4 linked regions of the Danio rerio genome follow. The protein of the gene in region 4 interacts with the protein of the main gene of each other region in a pairwise test. Links are inferred from orthologs where the notes say so. Each region holds a gene or a part of one and is shown on either strand. Other genes may lie near its edges.

Region 1 (5,219 bases), on a different chromosome or scaffold from region 4:
ATGAGAGCAAAACAAATAAAACAAAATAAATAAAAACAGTTTAATAAAATAAATGAAATAAAGCAAAACAAATCAAATAAAACTAAAAAGTTAAAAAAAAAAATAATAAAATGAAATGTAGCAAAACAAATCAAATACATACAATTTAATAAAATAAATGAAATAAAGCAGAACAAATCAAATAAAACAAAAAAATTAATAAAATTATAATAGAAAATTTTATAAAATTTATTAAAGCATAACATATCGAATAAAATCGAATATAACAAAAATTAATTAAATAATATTTAAAACATTTAATTAAATAATATCTCATTCACCTACTGCACATGAGGAGGTATTCATAAAAATGTAACTTGTGTTTCTCTTTGATTTTAGTATAGATTTTGTACAAATTTTAAGTCCTGTCTTGAAGATGACCTCTTTAATTACTGTAAAAACCATTGGATGCATAAATTGAGTTGGAATATTATACTATATATCTCACTAACTCTATCTATTGTGAAAATTGCCACCATCTCATAGCAATCTTATATTTTAAAGTGATAAAACTTAAAAAAGTTACTTAACATTTTTGTTCACATAATTTACTAAATAAATCTAGCTGTTTAAAATGTAAAGTCACAATATCTAAATCTACTAAAATCTTAGTCTTTCCATAAATAAATGTTGACTTGCTCCCTGCTATTTGTTTGTTATTTTCTTAATACTTGTTGCATCATTTCCATCCATTCTCCAAGCAATTGATCAAATTAATCAATTTTCTAGTCTCGTCTTGGCAAATAACTGAGAAAACACAAATATTAAAGGTCATGTTTTTATGATGTCATCATTTAGACTTCCTATCAGTATTTTACAGTGTTTTAAAAATACACAACATTAAACATAATATTAACCTATTTTTATAAACCACATCAATTACAAATTACTAAATACTATTTTGTATGTGAAATACGCATTTGAAATACTTGTATCATAAATTCTGGCCATCCCTGATTATCGGGACTATAAAAGTGCATTTATCAAAACAGTTAAAAGATTAGTTCAGGAAAAACTAAAAAATCATGTTGTTTTTTACTCTTATTTGTAACAGTTTATTTTGTTGAACAAAAAATAAGATATTTTGAAAAATGTTGAAAACCGGTAACTATTTCCATACTATTAGTATTCCTGTTATTTACTTCTAACATTCTTTAAATTGTCTTTCAAGGGCTTGGATCAACTTGTGGGTGAGTAAATAGTGATAATAATAATTTATGGGAATAATTTTTGGGTGAACTATCCTTTTAAGCTGAATTTAGCATTATATAGAGTGGAAATTCTACCAGAAACGCACATTATCTGTACCTGAAATAAAACATAAATAGAGTGAATAAAAAAAGTATTTCATCCCAAAATGTCTAAAATGGACCGATGGTTGATTTCTGTGAGTTGTTCTGCAAAGGAGTCAGTGTCATTCATTTAGTTTTCAGATTTTCGTTCTTTATTAAAAACCCTTTACAAACTTACAAACCCTGTTATTGTCCTTTTCCTCAGTCCAACTGAACCTACAGCTTTAATCATTTTGTTATGCAAAAAACAGTGATTTAGAAAAACATATTCTTCAGAAATAGCAAAGTTGAAGTTGTTATCATTTACATCAATTAATTGAAAACATGAAATTATATATAAATTCTACAAATAAATGCTAAACATATAATTTAAATTCATTTACAATTGTCCCTATGTTTTGGTCAGTCACATTTGCATTACATTTTGCGTGCCTTCATATGACTCACTTGATGGAGGAAAGGATGCGCTCTATCATTGAATTGTATGATTTTATGCTTGTTTTGTATGGTTTTTTATTTATTTATTTTTGAGGAAGACAAGCTTAAGTCAGGCCCTGTCAATTTTTTTATAAGTGAAAATGTACGTTTCTTGTAGAATGTGCCAAAGACTGCAGGGGGCGCTGTAGTGCCTCAAACCAACCGGAAATCTCCTGTCATGACAACTGCACGCACAGCTTTGAACTCAACGGCGGGGAGAACGAGCACTTTGCAAAACAATGACTAAAAAATCATCAAAGAATCGGATTCGAGCATTTTACACGTTTATGTAGGACCGCTTGTGTGACTTTCAGTGGTTATCATGGATATGCGGAGATCAGAAAGACTGAACGCGCCGGCGGACTTTATGAAAGCTGCTGAAGCAGGTAAACCAACACAATTAACCGAATAAAAGCCACCATATACCAAATAAACAAACACAAACGACTCAACTAGAGCTCTTAAAAAAAACACTCGCTTATCTTTGTGTATAATATTACTGGTTGTAGTGTTGAAGCACAGTATTAGTCTGATGTCAACTAACGTTAAGGTTGCAAAGATACAAACGTCTAGGATTGACAGCAAGTGTGATAAAGCCGTTTAACATTAATCCAACAGCATTTTGATAATCAGTTATTCAATTATAACATTAATACTTATGATTGTTGTGGTAGTTTACATGTCTCAGTTGATTTCCTAGACTACATTGACTATTTGTACTATGCATGCTGTTCAGCATCTTAAAGTGAAGAGTTCAGATGCAAAAAAGAAATTTTCTCCTAAAATGAGCGTTATTTTGCTTTAAAGGCAATATAAATAACTTTTTGGTCACTATAAAAGTAAAATTTCTGAACCTACACACGAGTTGGAGGAAAATGCGCTAGCAACATTTAACTTAGAGGTTTTGGCATCTAAACTCTTGAAGTGAACTTTAAAAGGATTGTAAAAAAAAAAATAATAAAAATAAATAAATATATATATATATATATATATATATATATATATATATATATATATATATATATATATTTCTGTCATCATTTATTCATTTTCCACTTGCTTCAAACCTGATTGAGTTGCCTATTTCTGTTGAACACAACAGAAGATACGTTGAAGAAAGCTGAAAACCAGTAATCATTCACTGTCATAGTATTTTTTTTTTCTACTATAGAGGCCAATTGTTACAGTTTTCAGCCTTTTTAAAATAACACCTTTAGTGTTCAACAGGAGAAATAAACTTGAAATTGTTTATAATTCAGGGTGAGTAGAAAAAATGTAAATAATTTTTGGAGGGAACTATACCGTTATAAAATCTGAACAGATTAGAAATGATAACAACTTTAAATAAGTTCTGTTGTGTCTTTTTTGGAACTTATTTTTAATAAAGAATGCAACACTGCAAAGCAATGAGTACAATACAATTTTAAATTATTGTTATTATTAATTTGTGGTGTCATGGTGGCACAGTAGGTTAGCCTGATCGCCTCACAGAAAGAAGGTTGCTGGTTCTGTGTGGAATTTGCATGTTCTCCCCGTGTTCACCTGGGTTCCCTCTGGGTGCTTCGGTTTCCCCCACAGTGCAAAGACAGGCGCTATAGGTAAATTGAATAAGCTAAGTTGGCTGTAGTGTACATGTGTGAATGCAAGAGTGTATGAGTGTTTCCCAGTGTTGGGTTGCAGCTGGAAGGGTAAAACATATGCTGGTTAAGTTGGCGGTTTATTCCGCTGTTTCAACCCCTGATTAATAAAAGTACTAAGCCAAAAAGAAAATGAAGAAATTCTTATTTTGCATGTTACTCCAATTTCTAGCTGCCAAAATGGTTGTAAAGACATGTTGAGAACAAAATAAAAAAATAAAATAATAATAATACTAAATTAGGGCTAGTCATTGCAGGATGTATTATGGCTGTGAGAATGGTGCTGTGAAATTGGAAGAACTCAGATACTCCCACTTTTAAGGATTAGATTGAGCTGATGACTTCTACTGTATCATATAAACATACTGTATATTGGCAAGACTCGAGGTCTCCACTCTCCACCTATACTTTTCATCAGAAGTGGGGTAGCTTTTTACGGTATTTAGAGAGCATGTATTAGAAAAATTGAAGGGTTGTCATTTTGGCTGTCTATTGTATAATTTTATATTTAATATTTATGTTTTATGTTATTATTTTATTATATTTTGTTTACATTATTTTCCTGAATGTTGATTTTGTATTGTGAATGTTACGTTGTGTGGGGTATAGACGTTCAAAATAAAAAAGTTAATTGACAAAAAATACAAAAATACAAAAATAAATAAATAAATGAAATTAAATAAAAAAGGGGGACAATTAGATGGATGTTGTAGTAGAGAAAGAAAGGAGTGGCCTTGATCATAACAGTATGGCTCATTATTGAAGAATTAAAGGCATGACAGGAGGCCATCTCTTTAGGAAAATATATATTTTTTAAGTCGCATTGCATATGTGATTTGCTCCATTTCATACAGTTCCCACACTTTTTGAATCCAAGCATTATATGATGGAGGTTCAGAATTTAGCCATATGCATGTGATGCACTTCAAAGCTGCTGCAAGTAGAATTTGTAATAAGTATGTTCTCGATCTGTCATTAAAGCCCTTGGGGCACACACCTTCTGTAGCTCAGCGACTGTGTGATCTTCAGAAAATTGCTTTCATTTTTTTTTTACATTCTTTTTTTTATGTTTTTATTTTTTTTATTAAACATTTTTTATTTTGAACAAAGCCTGAGATCCACAAAATGCTCAAATAAAATAAAGACAATAATACTGTAATAATAGGTACAAAATCATAATTGAAACATATCTCATACAGTCATATTTAACCAAAATTGTACAGTTTTCTTACTGGCATCATTTATTTTATCTGTGGTGTATTCTAAACTAATACAGTCCAGTGCATCAGCTGGAGCAAATGGATACAGCCATATTTTCAGGATGTTTTTTTTTTCAGCATTCAGAACAACTGATAGAATCCTTTGGTTGATGGATAAGGAGAGTGATGAATCGTCCACCATGAGAAAAAACAATGGGTTACGTTGGATCGGAGTTTCCATTAGCTCTAATAGTAGGTCTCGTACCTTGGACCTGAATAATGCAATTTGGGGACATTCCCAGAACATATGTATACAGTTAGGTCCATAAAAATTTGGCCATTGGCACAATTTTGACATTTTTGGCTCCATACACCAACACAATGGGTTTGAAATTAAATGATCAAGAAGTGATTTAACTGCAGACTGTCAGCTTTAATTTGAGGGTATTTACATCCAAATCAGGTGAACGCTGACTTTCAACAGTTTGCATTAGGCATGGGATGATAACCGTTTTTCAAGTATAACACAGTTTGCAAAAGTCAAGGTTTTAAAATCGATAAAATTTTCTGTGATA
Region 2 (4,476 bases), on a different chromosome or scaffold from region 4:
TCTATTATTTTTTTATTGTTAAGCCCATAAACAGTGTATACAATTTATACATACATCAACAAATAGGCAGATCATCTTTAACAATGAAAAGTAATCCATAAACATTTAGGAGCATGATTTATTTTTGACTAAAAGGTCTCCAACTATCAAACCCAATTTTATTGTTTCATTTATTCAAATATTTTCTTTCTGGCTTAGTCCCTTTATTAATCTGGGGTTGCCACAGCGGAATGAACCGCCAACTTATCCATCACATATTTTATGCAACGGATGCCCTTCCAGCTGCAACTCATCACTGGGAAATACACCCATTCACTCTCATTCAGTCATACAGTACGGACAATTTAGCTTACCCAATTCACCTACAGCGCATGTATTTGGACTGTGGGGGAAACCGGAACACCCTGAGGAAACCCACGCCAACACAGGGAGAACATGCACACTCCACACAGAAATGCCAACTGACCTAGCTGAGGCTTGATCCAGTGACCTTCTTGCTGTGGGGTGATCATGCTACCCACTGCACCACAACAAAGCCCTCTTATTGTTTATGGACATATTAAATCCTTAAATAATACTATTTTAATATTGCAACCTAAGGTCTCAATTGTTTTATATATTAACTATACTTTTTTCAGATTTTTAAACAAATGTCACTTTGTAGTTTACAAAACAGCAATAATATGCATTAAATAGATCAATTTTCTGAATTTATGTGGTAATATGTTTCTTCAGTCTCCTTCATGTTAAGTGAAACGCCTCTTGGCTTCTGTTGATTGTTTAGTCAGGTGAAGAAGATGAAGTGCTATAAATGAGTGAGTGAAGCACCTGTTGCTCAGTGTGATCAGAGCTCCTGCAGATCTCCAGAGAGGCGGCAGCAGACATCAGCAGGCACGTCTTCTGCCCCATCAACACAGCTCGGTCTGGAGCACACAGCTGTGAAAGCTGCACATCACACGTTCACTGTAACTACACCTCACTAAAGCTGCAGTGTCAGCGTGTGGATTGCTGTTAGCACAATTATGACCTAGCATACAGTTACTAGGTGTATCATCCTGCTGGAAGTAGCCATCACAAGATAAATAAACTGTGGTCATAACGAGTTGGATGTGGTCAGCAACAATACACAGGTAAGCCGTGGCTTTAAACAATGCTCAATGATTAGTGCTAAAGGACCCAAGGTATGGCAAGAAATTCCTCACACTACTACATCACCACAGCATGCTAAATTAATACTTGCTTTCAATCTATTGAGTTGCTGCCATGTCATTGGCTGATTATAATTTGCCTTATTTAGCAGTAGTAATAATAAGTGTAAAGCATCTGGAGAATATACTCCATATATTAGCAACTAACTTGCACACTAAAAGATACATTTTTGCTGATACATAATAAAATGTCTTTGTAAATATCATTTAAAGTTGCTATGAAACAGAAGTTAATATTGTCCTTTTCCCCATATTGTTATGTACATACAATAGATACATTAATGAAATGAATTAGCAGAAAAAAATAGGGCTATGCATGAATAAATCCATTGAGGACCGATAGGATCATTGAAAGATGGGCATTGCTAAGAAAATTAAGTAACATTGCTGAATAGATACAAGCAGAGCATACATGAGACATGAATGGCATTCCATGTGACCAGAAGTGAAGAAAAGTCACTTTGAGAGGGGAGGGAAGTTTATGGTATTTGATAAAGATTATGAAGGCAAATGATTTTTACTAAATAATAAAGTGCACAGAAACATCATTTATAAGAAGAACCACTATATAAAAATATTAAAATAAGAAGAGCTCATTTAAATTTCATGGTGATTTAAGCTCCATGCACAAATGTTTTAAAATCAGCATCCTGGCTTTGCAGCCTTCAGAATTTATATTGTTTTGATTGAAAAATGATGGCCAGGGTGGCATTTTAAGTACATAATTATGTGTATATGTGAGCATCCTACACATGTACAGTGTGTGCACTCACTGATAATAGAAATATGTTGTTCACTGTACACATGCCTTGAGTTTCTTGTACACTACCTGACAAAAGTCTTGTCGCCTATCCAAGTTTTAGCAACAACAAATAATATATTAACTTCTAGTTGATCATTTGGTATCAGAATTGGCTTATATGAAAGGCAAGGGCCTGTAGATTATGTGTATTTTACCAACATAAAGTATTATCATGCCTTGATTTTTAGATATTTAATTAGGACAGTAAGGTCTAACTTAGCTTAGACAAAAGTCTTGTCACTTAACAGAAATAATGTACAGTATAGAATATAAAGTCATGGTGCAGTGGAAAAAGAATGAATATTGTGTATGATTCTTATGAGCTTGGAGGACTGCATCCATCCACCTCTGCAATGACTCAAATAACTCATTAATAAAGTCATCTGGAATGGCAAAGAAAGCGTTCTTGCAGGAGAACAAGATGCAGTTGTCAATCAAGATTATTTGGATTCCTCTTCGATGCCTCCTCCATCTTACCCCAGACATACTCAATCTTGTTCATATCTGGTGACTGGGCTGGCCAATCCTGGAGCACCTTGACCTTTTTTGCTTTCAGGAACCTTGATGTGGAAGGATAATTTTTCTCTCCTGTGGTTTGTAATGTAATGGGCAGCACAAATGTCTTGATACCTCAGGCTGATGATGTTTTCATTTACTCTGCAGATCTCTTGCATGCCCCCATACTGAATGTAACCCTAAACCATGATTTTTCCTTCACCAAACTTGACTGATTTCTATGAGAATCTTGGGTCCATGCGCATTCCAGTAGGTGTTCTGCAGTATTTGTGATGATTGGGATGCAGTTCAACAGATGATTTATCTGAAAAATCTACCTTTTACCACTTTTTCAAATGATCAACTTAAAGTCGAGTTATTATTTGTTGCTCTTACAACTGGGATATACAACAAGGTTTTTGTCAGGTAGTGTATAAAAAAAGTATAGGCAGGGCTTATGAGGGACTATATCTTAACTTACTTGAAACGAGAGAAGAAAGAAATCCTTCATCCGAACAGGACTGTGCTCACACTGAAGGGCAGAGTTCCATGCTGAGAGTCAGAAAGACAGCCAATTTACAACACATGCACATTCAATCAAACATAACTACCAATAGACAAATGTTTCTCAAACTGTTGGAGGTTTATAAAAAGAGCACCAATTCTCCTGAACCAGTTAGCATCTTCTGAACGCTGCTCTGCTCTCTGACCAGGAATATGGCAGACTTGTGATAATTTCTGAAGAGCTGTAAATTTAGTTACAGTATGCATAAATCAGAGCAGACATAAAACAGCAGTGTAAAGACAAATGATGGTTAAGCCTACCTGTTTTTAGGTATGACAAGAGGATATCCAAGCTGGCATTCCTGTTTTAGAAATAGATGAAGTGAGACAAAGGGAGCTGCTGAGTTTGTCAGAATTTCTGTACCACTGATCTACTAACCTGTTTTCCTCGCTGATGTTTTCCAGTGTTGAAAGAGCTAGTCGCACTAAACACCTGAAAAAACATTGGCCCAGATTTTCTAACAGCTTGAGCCAGCACAAACCCTCTTGTGAATAACGCTAAATACAGGTGTAAACAGGGTCTAAACTTGAGCTTGCCTACTTTTGCAGAGTAAATGCTTATAATTGCTCATGATGGAATCGAATGTTATTGAAGGGATAGTTCACACAGAATTAAAATTTTCCCACCATTTACTCACACTCAAGTTTCTTTCTTTTGTAGAATATAAAATAAAACTGAATAAAGCTGGAAAAAACAGCCATTGACATCCATACTAGTAAAAAATATATACTATACAAGTAAATGGCTGTTTTTTTCTACTATTTATCAGTATGCATATCTTCCTTTTGTGTTTAACAGAAGAAAGAAACTCTAACAGGATCTGAACAAGTTGTTCAAATGATGGCAGGATTTTTATTTTTGGGCGAACTATCCCTTTAAACATCCCCAAAAGATAACAAATGATTGGTATGAGCCGAGATATAATAAGTTTTGCAGAGTTTACTATGCTGTACCAAAACTGATTATGATCAAAATCATACTTGTCATTCACATCCTTTTTATTCGCTTGCTTTTTGCTCAATTGTTAGCCACATAACATGGAATTATTCAACACTACTTATGCATCACAATCAATTCTATGAAACAAAACCAATGCAAACATTATTGAAATAAAAAGCTTGTCGGACAGCACAAACTGAAAAAAGATAATACATTGAATTAACAAGTGCTTGCATTTCAGTGACTTTAACTGCCAGGGTTTGCCATTTTAGGTCTTGAAATTAGACATAGCTGTTTATTTAAGCTGTAAATATTTTAATTTAAAACACATTTTCATACTTAAATTCAACACTTCATATTCAACCTTCAAAATATTCAGTTCTGTTTAAATCTACGAAGTATAATATTCAAAGGGCAATTTTCAGTTCATTTTATTTCCGATCAAAAATTCACTTCTTTTACACAAT
Region 3 (4,476 bases), on a different chromosome or scaffold from region 4:
GTGTGTAAATTCATGTTGAAAACAATTCTTTCTTTCCTGGCTTGAACACCCTAAAATAAAAGCCATTGTGACAGAAAATACACACTTCACTTTTAAACTGACATTGCAAAGCAGTGTTTATTTCAATGCAATGTCCTTAAATTAAACTGGGGGTTATATGTAGAAGTTGCTTGAAAACCAAAAATAATGTTCCAACATGTGGGGTCAGTCGTTGTTTATATGCAGGGTTTATATATGAAGAGCTCGGGTTCTAACTGCAGCTATGAACACTAAGCTTGTCTGACCTTTTAAAGTGATGGTTCACCCAAAACTGAAAACTGTTCTTTTTCTTGTTGTAAATATTGTTGCAAGTGTTTTCTTTTTTAACAGTTGATTGCAAAAGAAATCATTTTGAAAAAAAATATATAATAATCTGGATATTCTCTTACCATTGACTATAAGTTCTATTATTTGTTTTTTCCACTATGGAATTTGATGGTTTTAGGTTTTCAGCTGTCAAAATATTGTCTTTAGTGTTCAAAAACCAGAGGAAACTTTTGTTTGGGTGTGTTTGGAATGGTGAGTAAATCTTAATTTTTGGGTGAACTATCACTGTAATTATCTGGAAATGGCCTCATTATGAGTATGTTGTGGTCAAATCAGGGAATGATGTGTTACCAAATGGGTTATAGTTGACAAGACTGAAGCGCTGACGTGTTCACACTGCGAAAAAGACAACATGTGCTCCACACAGGCATGTGGTAAAGCAGAAAGCAGATTTTGGCAGCAGAACAGGGTTTAGCACCACACCACACCAACCAACAGCTCAGATTCAACCAAAAAGATCATGGATTATTGTCAGGAAAACAAAAGCTTCATATGCAGTAGTAACTGCAACTCCTGCCAGAAGATGGCTGTTTTCAGGGACCAGTAAAGGGCCAACAAAAGCAGCAGGTACAGTGCATCATGGGTAACAGTGTCGCTACCCATGGCGATACACAGTCTTTTATATACAAATTAAAAATTTCACCCATGGCCTGTATGGTTGCCAAGGCCGTGCTAGTCCTAATATGTTGCACATTTGCTGATCTTTAATCAGGGCAATCCAGTGTCTTATCCACTCAGTACTCCCACTCATCCGTCTTCATATCCAGATAACTAAGAATATTCTGGGCATGTTTAACAGCTTGCTTACGGGCAGTTTTGGTCCCCTGGTCACCCTGAGGGTCCACAGCGTCAAGAGCCAGAAGTTGTTTGGTCAGTAGCTCCTCCAACACCATGTAGCTCTTGTCGGCCCTTTTGCCATCGAAGCCCAACACCTGGGCCTGCAGATCACACAAACTGCCCAGCACTCGCCACACGGCTGCATGAGGTGGAGGTTCATCTGGCCCTGGATTACGTCGTCCTAGTGCTTCCCAGAGGTCTAGGAAGGTGATGAGCGCCTGCACCTCTAGCACAGCCCTGCGTCGCGCCTCCCGGATGCAGGGATTTCGGCCTGTATTTACCTGGTCCAGATGGTTAAGGAGACCCTGCAGCTCTATTCCCTGTCCAGAAGCTCCATGCCGAAGCACCTCTTCTCGCAGCACTGACACACGACCCCTGATAGCCTCAATTTCACGAATAGAGTCATTCTGTGCTAGATCATACCTGAAAGAAAAAAAATTGTAAGTATATTATTGGAAAAAAGATGCTTTTTAATTCATCCAAGTAAATAAATTTTATTCAAATATATACATGCACCACAATTACTCCATAACTACTCAAAAGTTTGAAATAACTTCCTTTTGTTATTTGATTAGGCTTTTTATCATAAAATGAAACTGTATAAATGCTACTGTATGTTAAGAATTGCATTATAAACATATTCTTTATTCTTATTGTAATACTAAGAAGGTTTACATAGCACATAATAAATAGCTGATGTAATCCAGGTCCCCGTATGAATAAAATAAATATAACAAGAATTGTTAGTGCTCAGTGCTCACCTATTTAAGGTGGTCAAGAGTGCTTAACGTGCTGCAATTTAAGAAAACACATGCAAAAACAAAAAACATTAGCAATTAAGAAAAGACACAAGCTGCAAATCCTCAAAGCAAAGACAGTAAAAAACACGCTGCCGTTTTTCACAACACAAACAATTAATGAAATCGAGCTGCCTTTTCTCACAACACTTCCAAAAAGAACGAAACACAATGAAAATGTTTCAAGGGTACCGAAAAACGTGACAAACATAACTGTATACTCAGTGAAGTTGTAAGTGATCTTTGAAAGGGGAGTTTTTTGTTTGTTTATATTAACATCTTGATTCCCTTGTTTTTTGCATTTTATTAGCCTAAATAACCAGAACCTAAATAGCCAGGTCCCCTTAAAACATTTTCACTGTGTTCCGACCTATTTGAAAGTGTTAAAAAGAAAATGCAGCACATTTTATTCATTTATTTGCATTGTGGGAAAATGCAGCCCTATTTTTATGTGTTTGCGTTGTGAGGATTTGCAGCACGTTTGCTGTCAAACAGATGAAGATCTTTTCTAAATTTGCTGGCATGTTTGTGTATTTGCATGAGTTTTCTTAAATTGCAGCACATTAAGCTTTCTCTGCCACCATACTTTTTTTTCTAAAAATTAGGAACAAATAAAAATAAAACAAAAAAAAGTGTTTTAAAACAAAATTTGCAAATCCATGTACAAATCACATAAGGCTTCTATTTCATATTAATGACATTATGCTTACTTCGTTACAAAATTTTAGACTTCAGTGTCACAGACTTTTTTATAATATAAAAATCTGAATTATTAAACCTACTTTAAAATTATTTTCTTTTGTAAATATTTCCCAAATGATGTTTAACAGAGCAAGGAAATTTTCACAGTACCATATGTCTGATAGTATATTTTCTTCTGGAGAAAGTCTTATTTGTTTTATTTCAGTGGGAATAATACTAATTACCCTGACCTGCCTAGTTAACCTAATTAACCTAGTTAAGCCTTTAAATGTCACTTTAAGCTGTATAGAAGTATCCTGTAAAATATCCAGTAAAATATTATTTATTGTCATCATGGCAAAGATAAAATAAACCAGTCATTAGAGATGATTTATTAAAACTATTATGCTTAGAAATGTGTTAAAAAAATCGTATTCCCGTTGAACAAAAATTGGAGAAAAAAATAAACTGGGGGGCTAATAATTCAGGGGGTTTAATAATTCTGATTTTTGATTGCGTATGTGCGTGTGTGCGTGGTTCAATGCAGTCCCATAGCTTTAGAAATGGATTTTTAACCTTTTCCAGACTGGTAGATCTCAATAAAAATCTTTTGGATCTTGGCATGATGTCTAGCTTTTGAGGATCTTTTAGACTACTTTACTTTGTCTTCACTTTTTAGGTCCTATTTAAGCTATTTTTTAAATTGTAAACAGGTGTGGCAGTAACAAGTTCTGGGCGTGGCAAGAGAAATTGAACTTTTGTTGTGATAAATTAGCATTAAGTTATCTTTAAATCTTATCTCCCTTAATGATAAAAATCTTTATTAAAAAAATGTGTGATGTGTTTAATTGTGCTATCTTTGACTAACATTTAAAGGACACCTATGGTGAAAAATCTACTTTTCAAGCTGTTTGGACAGACATGTGTGTAGGTATAGTGTATTGACCATCATATTGGGATGATATAAACACACACAGTCCTTTTTTTTCAATTTAACAACATAAAAAAGGTTGAACCAATTGGAGTGGTTTTCAGAGCAACCGCAACTTGACGTAGGAGTGCAGTCCCCCAGCCCAGTTTGTTGTTTCACGTCTGCCATTTTCAGCGTGTGAGTCAAAGCGATGTCACTAAAGGAACACCCTTGCTCTATTTTTATATGTAAGGCTCATTAGGCTCAACACAAGATGAACATACACCACTTGATCGCTCTAATCAGAATTATTGTTTGTAACTTTAGGTAGGTTTGCAAATATGAGTACTTTTCATTGTGTCTACCTTAAACTGGAAAGTGCGAGCACGTTGCCTCAGGTGCACGTCTCTTCATTGGAAATAAAATAACAAACTTGCCTGCAGGAAGCACACCATAAGCGCCGCTCTGCGTGGCCCGACACTGAGCATGCATTTTAGAATTCTAAACATAGGTTTCTATCAGGGTACACACAACGGCGCTTCAAGTCGACGGCTGGCCGATTGGGCACAATTCATGCTTCTGCCGCGTCACAGAGCGTCATCTAAACAATTAAATTTAAATAACATCTGAATGTGTGTGTCTGGTGTGCCGTGTCGCGGCTCCGAGCGGCGCATCTGGTGCCTCAATCAAAGTTAATTCAGTGTGCTTGGTTATTAGTCTCAGTGTACAAGCTCGGCACTTTAAACTAGCACACAGTTGGCTGTAAAACAATACAAAGTTACAAATGATTTTGTACTCTCTGCTTGGTCTGTGTCCGAGTCGTACATGTACAGCCGAATGCTGGTCCTCTCACTCGTTGCTTCTCTCTTTCTGCCTTTCTGTTGC
Region 4 (4,476 bases):
TGTGTGTGTGTGTGTGTGTGTGTGTGTGTGTGTGTGTGTGTGTGTGTGTGTGTGTGTGTGTAAAGAAAACGTAAATGTTACAATTTAAAAAAGAAACATTGCACTGAGACTCCTCTAATACTAAATAAAATGTATTCTCTTATACATTTTTCTATTTGATTTTGGGTAGAAATGTCCAAAAGAAACAATACACAGTCAAGGATAGGAATTCAAAGCAACTTAAAAAGATAGCACATCACAAAAATCACTAGCTATTTCTTTTGCAATGTGAAATGGGAGTTTTATTCATTCAATAGATGTTTTTTTACACAGAAAAAAAAAACTCAAAATTTACTGAGTAGAATTGCTTTAAACAGGGTTTCTGCAGGTATCACCGAGTTAAATTTAAGACCTTTTAAGACCATTATGAATGAAAGTTTAGAATCATTAAAGGTTAAATGCTAGGGAATTTCAAATGCCCCAGATGGAACAGATTTTTATTTGACCTATTAAAAAAATTACAATTTAATACATTTAATAATACAATAATACATTAATAATAAACAATTATAATATTTTAGATTTTATTTCTTAGCTAAATATTGTGTAAAAACAAGCAAGCTCTACTTGTATCCATAAACTTTTTTTATAACATAAACTTTCTTTAAAATAAAAAATGATCAGATGTTTTAAAAGTTTTAAAAACTATAATAAACCAAATCTGTGCACAACAATCGGTCCAGGTAGGTGTTCTGAACAGTAAATACATAGAGAACTTTTAAACAAATGTTATTGTAAGGAAAATACTTAAACCATTTTAATAATATAAATAATAATTAAAATTTTAAAAAAATAATTCCTTACATTTATAAAGCACTTGTCTGGACACTCAAAGTCCTTTACACATTCTTGGGGGGAATCTCTTCATCCACCACCATCTATTTATTATGATAAATAGAGTTAAAAATAGAGTTAAAAATTACCTTTTAAATAAAATTAGGATTGTTGGAGATTGTATGGGTTTTGACCAGATTGGGTAGAAATACACGAATAAAGGAAAATTAAGAACTGATTTAAGGCCTACAACACAATATTTCAGTAAATTTAAGACTTTTTAGGGCCTAAAATTTTGATTTTGAGATTTAAGACGTTAAGGATTCAAGACCCTGCAGAAAGCCTGTTTAAAGGGATAGTTCATGCTAGGGTTGTCATGATACCGGAATTCGGTACAAATCGATATTGATATTTTAAAAACATCCATTTCCCACTAGCATTTGAGTGGTGTTAAGCATGTTCTTAAGACTGATTTATACTGGACGCGTCCGCTAGTTCATTTGAGTGAGCTTTGCAAAAAAGATTTTGTCTGAAACAGGTTTGCCTGGCAGACATCTTTATGATCCATCTATGCATGACCGTAGGGATAACCAGATGGCCAATAATTCTTGGCCAGAAATTACAACAGCAGTAGGAAAGGTAGAAAGTTTTTGTTAAAAAGTTTATAAAAACTTGAGTGATGAGTTGGCAAAAGTGGAGACCTACGTGGTTTAATTAACAATTTAATAGTTACAAAACTAAAATAAAGTAACAAATTATTTCTTTGATAACTGGAAGAATATTTGAACCTATAAGTTTACAATATACTGATTTCTTTTCTTTATTCTTGATAATGATCAGGAATGTCGGACCATTATTACCTTTTTAGCATGTAATAGTACACAAACTAGCAAGACACTAATGTGTGAACTGTGGAGTGGGCAGAATTTTTTTTTTTTTTTAAGTGTACTTTTTTTGCTTTTATTTTGCCATAATAAACAATATATTTGAAGAGCAACCCATGTTTGTTGTCAATATTTTTATAACTATAATAGGTAGCACAGTCTAAGATATGAACAAAAGAAGTGATGTATCAAAGTTTAATTTCAAAAATCTTGAATGGTTATAAAAAAATTTATGATCATTAAAAAAAAAAATAAAAATAATAAAAAAATAATTAGTTTAAATATCCTGAGTGATATTAATGATATGACGTAGTTCCAGAAACTTTTTACTTCTGTTTATCTGTCGGATTTTACAATTCGGTTTTTTGACCATGCCCTGTGGTCTTAAAAAATCTCTCAATGGCAAACGCATCAAGTACAAAAGCCTTGTCCGTTTTGTGCACGCGCAGTAAGTGGAGGCCTGCGATGCGGCGCCAGGCGAAAGTATAAATCAGCCTTTTTGATTTGCCACTGTATTCACGTGCTCAATAGGAATGAATGTGGTTGGCTGTGAAGGTCATCAGTTCACCAAACGCACAGCTGTTTACGGAGTGTAAGCACAGATACAGGGACACTGGAGTGTTTCAAAGCCGCAATTCATCAGCGGATCGTTCATATGTCAGCTTATATATAAACCAAAATGTTTAGAAATGCTCCAGCATCCCAGTACCTGTGGTTACACTCAGTAAACAGCAATGAGTTCTGTGAACTGATGACCTTCACAGCCAATCAGTCATAAAAATTTTGCGTTTAAAATTTCTGTACAAATTGGTACCAAATTCCAGTATCGTGACAAACCTAGTTCACGCAAAAACAGAAATGACCTCATCATTTAGTTTTTAATCACTTAGTTTTTCTTTAGAACACAAAAGAAGATATTTTGAGATATTCTAAAACCCATTAACTAATAATGACTATAGACCTCGATAGACACTAACAACCAGCATTTTTTTCGAAATACTTTCTTTTGTGTTCAACTCAAATAAGCTTTGAACAAGTAAAGGTTGATTAAATAACAACAGAACATTCATCTAAGGTTGAACTACCTATTTAATTGCACATTTTGCAACCGTTTACCTCTTTCTCCAACTCCACTTTGATTTTCTCCTCCATCACTTTCTCCAGCCTCTCCAGCTTCCTCCTCAAGCCCTCGGTCTCTTCCTTCAGCAAACTGTTGTTCTCTTTTGTCTCCCTTTTGAAAGACAGTTGAAGACGTGCTAAATATACATTAGGCATGCATCAGGGAAAAAGTCTGACAGTGAATGCGGATACCTTAAGAAAGAGTTTTCCTCACGCAGACGTTTAATTTCCCGCTCCATTTCAGGCAGTCTGGCCACTTCAGATTTCATGTTCTTCACAATCACGGAGTCCTGTTCCTGAAGAGCCAAACGCCTCTCCAACTCCTGCAGATGGACAGCACAAATAAGACCAAGCTGAGCACAAATACAAGCCAATTTCATGATGCTAATACAAGCTTTATTTTAGTCTAGACTTGACACTCGAGCACCAGTACTTCAGACATCCCTTAGTGCTCCAAAATCCACCGAAATTGAGAAAAAGACTGAAACAAAAATACCTTCATCTTGAGTTCGCTCTCTGTGCTGGTTGAATGAGAGGACTGCAGATTTTGGTACTTCTGACTGATGTCCTGAAACTTCCTGTTAACAACAAAGACAAAAAATGCTTACTGTTACGAATATATCGCGCAATATATTGTTTCACCATCGATATTGCAATATGCACTTCTACAATAGTCCCATTGCAGGAAGTGCAATGTTTGGTTTATATGTTGGGATTATAGTTTACCAGGAGCCACAGTTCAGAACACAGAAGATTTCTGGAGTCACTGAAGAGTTTCACCATAATGGAGTGAACACATGTGCCCCATGGATTAATACATTTTTTTACTTGTAGATTAATCCTAAATTTGAAACGATGGCAGAGAGATCACCTCACATCAATCAAATCACATTTATGAAAGCATGTAGGTTTTGACATAAGTTGTAGTGGTTTTTTCAGGATGAGGTGGGTTTCTTAGGTTATTAAAGAGGTTTTCTTTTACAATTTAGCCTGCATTAATGCATTCAGTGTAAGCTGCACGATTAATCACTAAAAGATCGGGATCTCAACACCCACGCAACAAATTTTTAATGATGGTGATTTGTATACTTTTATTAATCCAAAGAGATTTAGTCTTCAGTGTTTTGAGTTAGTTATGAAGTTACAAAAAGTCAAATAACACAGAAGTACTGGGATAATGGTTTAAAGTTAAGATATAACTAGGGCCAGATGGAATCTGCGGACATTTTTTTGCCATTTCTTTAAAAAAAATCTGCAGATTTATGCGGAATGATTTCGAGGGTCTCATAATTAAAACCTTAACATATGAGCTAAAAAGTAATACCTTTTTAACTTGTATTTAATGTTTATAATGCAAATCCAATTAGATCCACTTTATTTGGTAAACAAATCAAGTCTTCTATATAATAAATCTACTAAAAGACAGAAAATATGACTTAACAAGCTGTATTCAAAATAACTATATGAACAGTTTCATATTAGTCAATAATAATACTGAAATAAATTTAAATTATGCTGAAATTGTATTCATATCGCAGCAAAACAAAACATGGAAATGACTAATTTTCCAACATCCTGCAGCAGTATATTTTAATTTATATTTAAGAGAGAAAATGAAGTAAACCATGTGGTGTTTTTTTGAGTTCATACTTGCGCTGCA

The links.
Region 1: the proteins of mad1l1 (region 4) and si:dkeyp-20g2.1 interact in binary tests that used the Homo sapiens proteins (3 or more experiments, as listed by UniProt). The link is inferred for Danio rerio from reciprocal best matches to the Homo sapiens genes MAD1L1 and CCHCR1.
Region 2: the proteins of mad1l1 (region 4) and tex11 interact in a two-hybrid assay, tested with the Homo sapiens proteins (2 studies listed by BioGRID and IntAct). The two-hybrid records come from large-scale screens. The link is inferred for Danio rerio from reciprocal best matches to the Homo sapiens genes MAD1L1 and TEX11.
Region 3: the proteins of mad1l1 (region 4) and bag5 interact in binary tests that used the Homo sapiens proteins (3 or more experiments, as listed by UniProt). The two-hybrid records come from large-scale screens. The link is inferred for Danio rerio from reciprocal best matches to the Homo sapiens genes MAD1L1 and BAG5.

The regions. Positions count from the first base shown.
Region 1 is NC_133180.1:24,161,596-24,166,814, reverse strand, and holds the start of si:dkeyp-20g2.1 (coiled-coil alpha-helical rod protein 1), read left to right. Parts: upstream 1-1,963; 5' UTR 1,964-2,130; coding exon 2,131-2,194; intron 2,195-5,219. UniProt on the Homo sapiens protein: May be a regulator of keratinocyte proliferation or differentiation.
Region 2 is NC_133189.1:37,606,209-37,610,684, reverse strand, and holds part of tex11 (testis-expressed protein 11), read right to left. Parts: intron 3,503-4,476; coding exon 3,449-3,502; intron 3,372-3,448; coding exon 3,331-3,371; intron 3,252-3,330; coding exon 3,165-3,251; intron 3,058-3,164; coding exon 2,987-3,057; intron 946-2,986; coding exon 829-945; intron 1-828. UniProt on the Homo sapiens protein: Regulator of crossing-over during meiosis. Involved in initiation and/or maintenance of chromosome synapsis and formation of crossovers.
Region 3 is NC_133188.1:17,742,056-17,746,531, forward strand, and holds part of bag5 (BAG family molecular chaperone regulator 5), read right to left. Parts: intron 1,996-4,476; coding exon of another isoform or gene 1,965-1,995; exon of another isoform or gene 1,948-1,964; intron 1,627-1,947; coding exon 1,101-1,626; 3' UTR 1-1,100. UniProt on the Homo sapiens protein: Co-chaperone for HSP/HSP70 proteins. It functions as a nucleotide-exchange factor promoting the release of ADP from HSP70, thereby activating HSP70-mediated protein refolding.
Region 4 is NC_133176.1:11,252,185-11,256,660, forward strand, and holds part of mad1l1 (mitotic spindle assembly checkpoint protein MAD1), read right to left. Parts: coding exon 4,467-4,476; intron 3,395-4,466; coding exon 3,313-3,394; intron 3,140-3,312; coding exon 3,009-3,139; intron 2,929-3,008; coding exon 2,814-2,928; intron 1-2,813. UniProt on the Homo sapiens protein: Component of the spindle-assembly checkpoint that prevents the onset of anaphase until all chromosomes are properly aligned at the metaphase plate.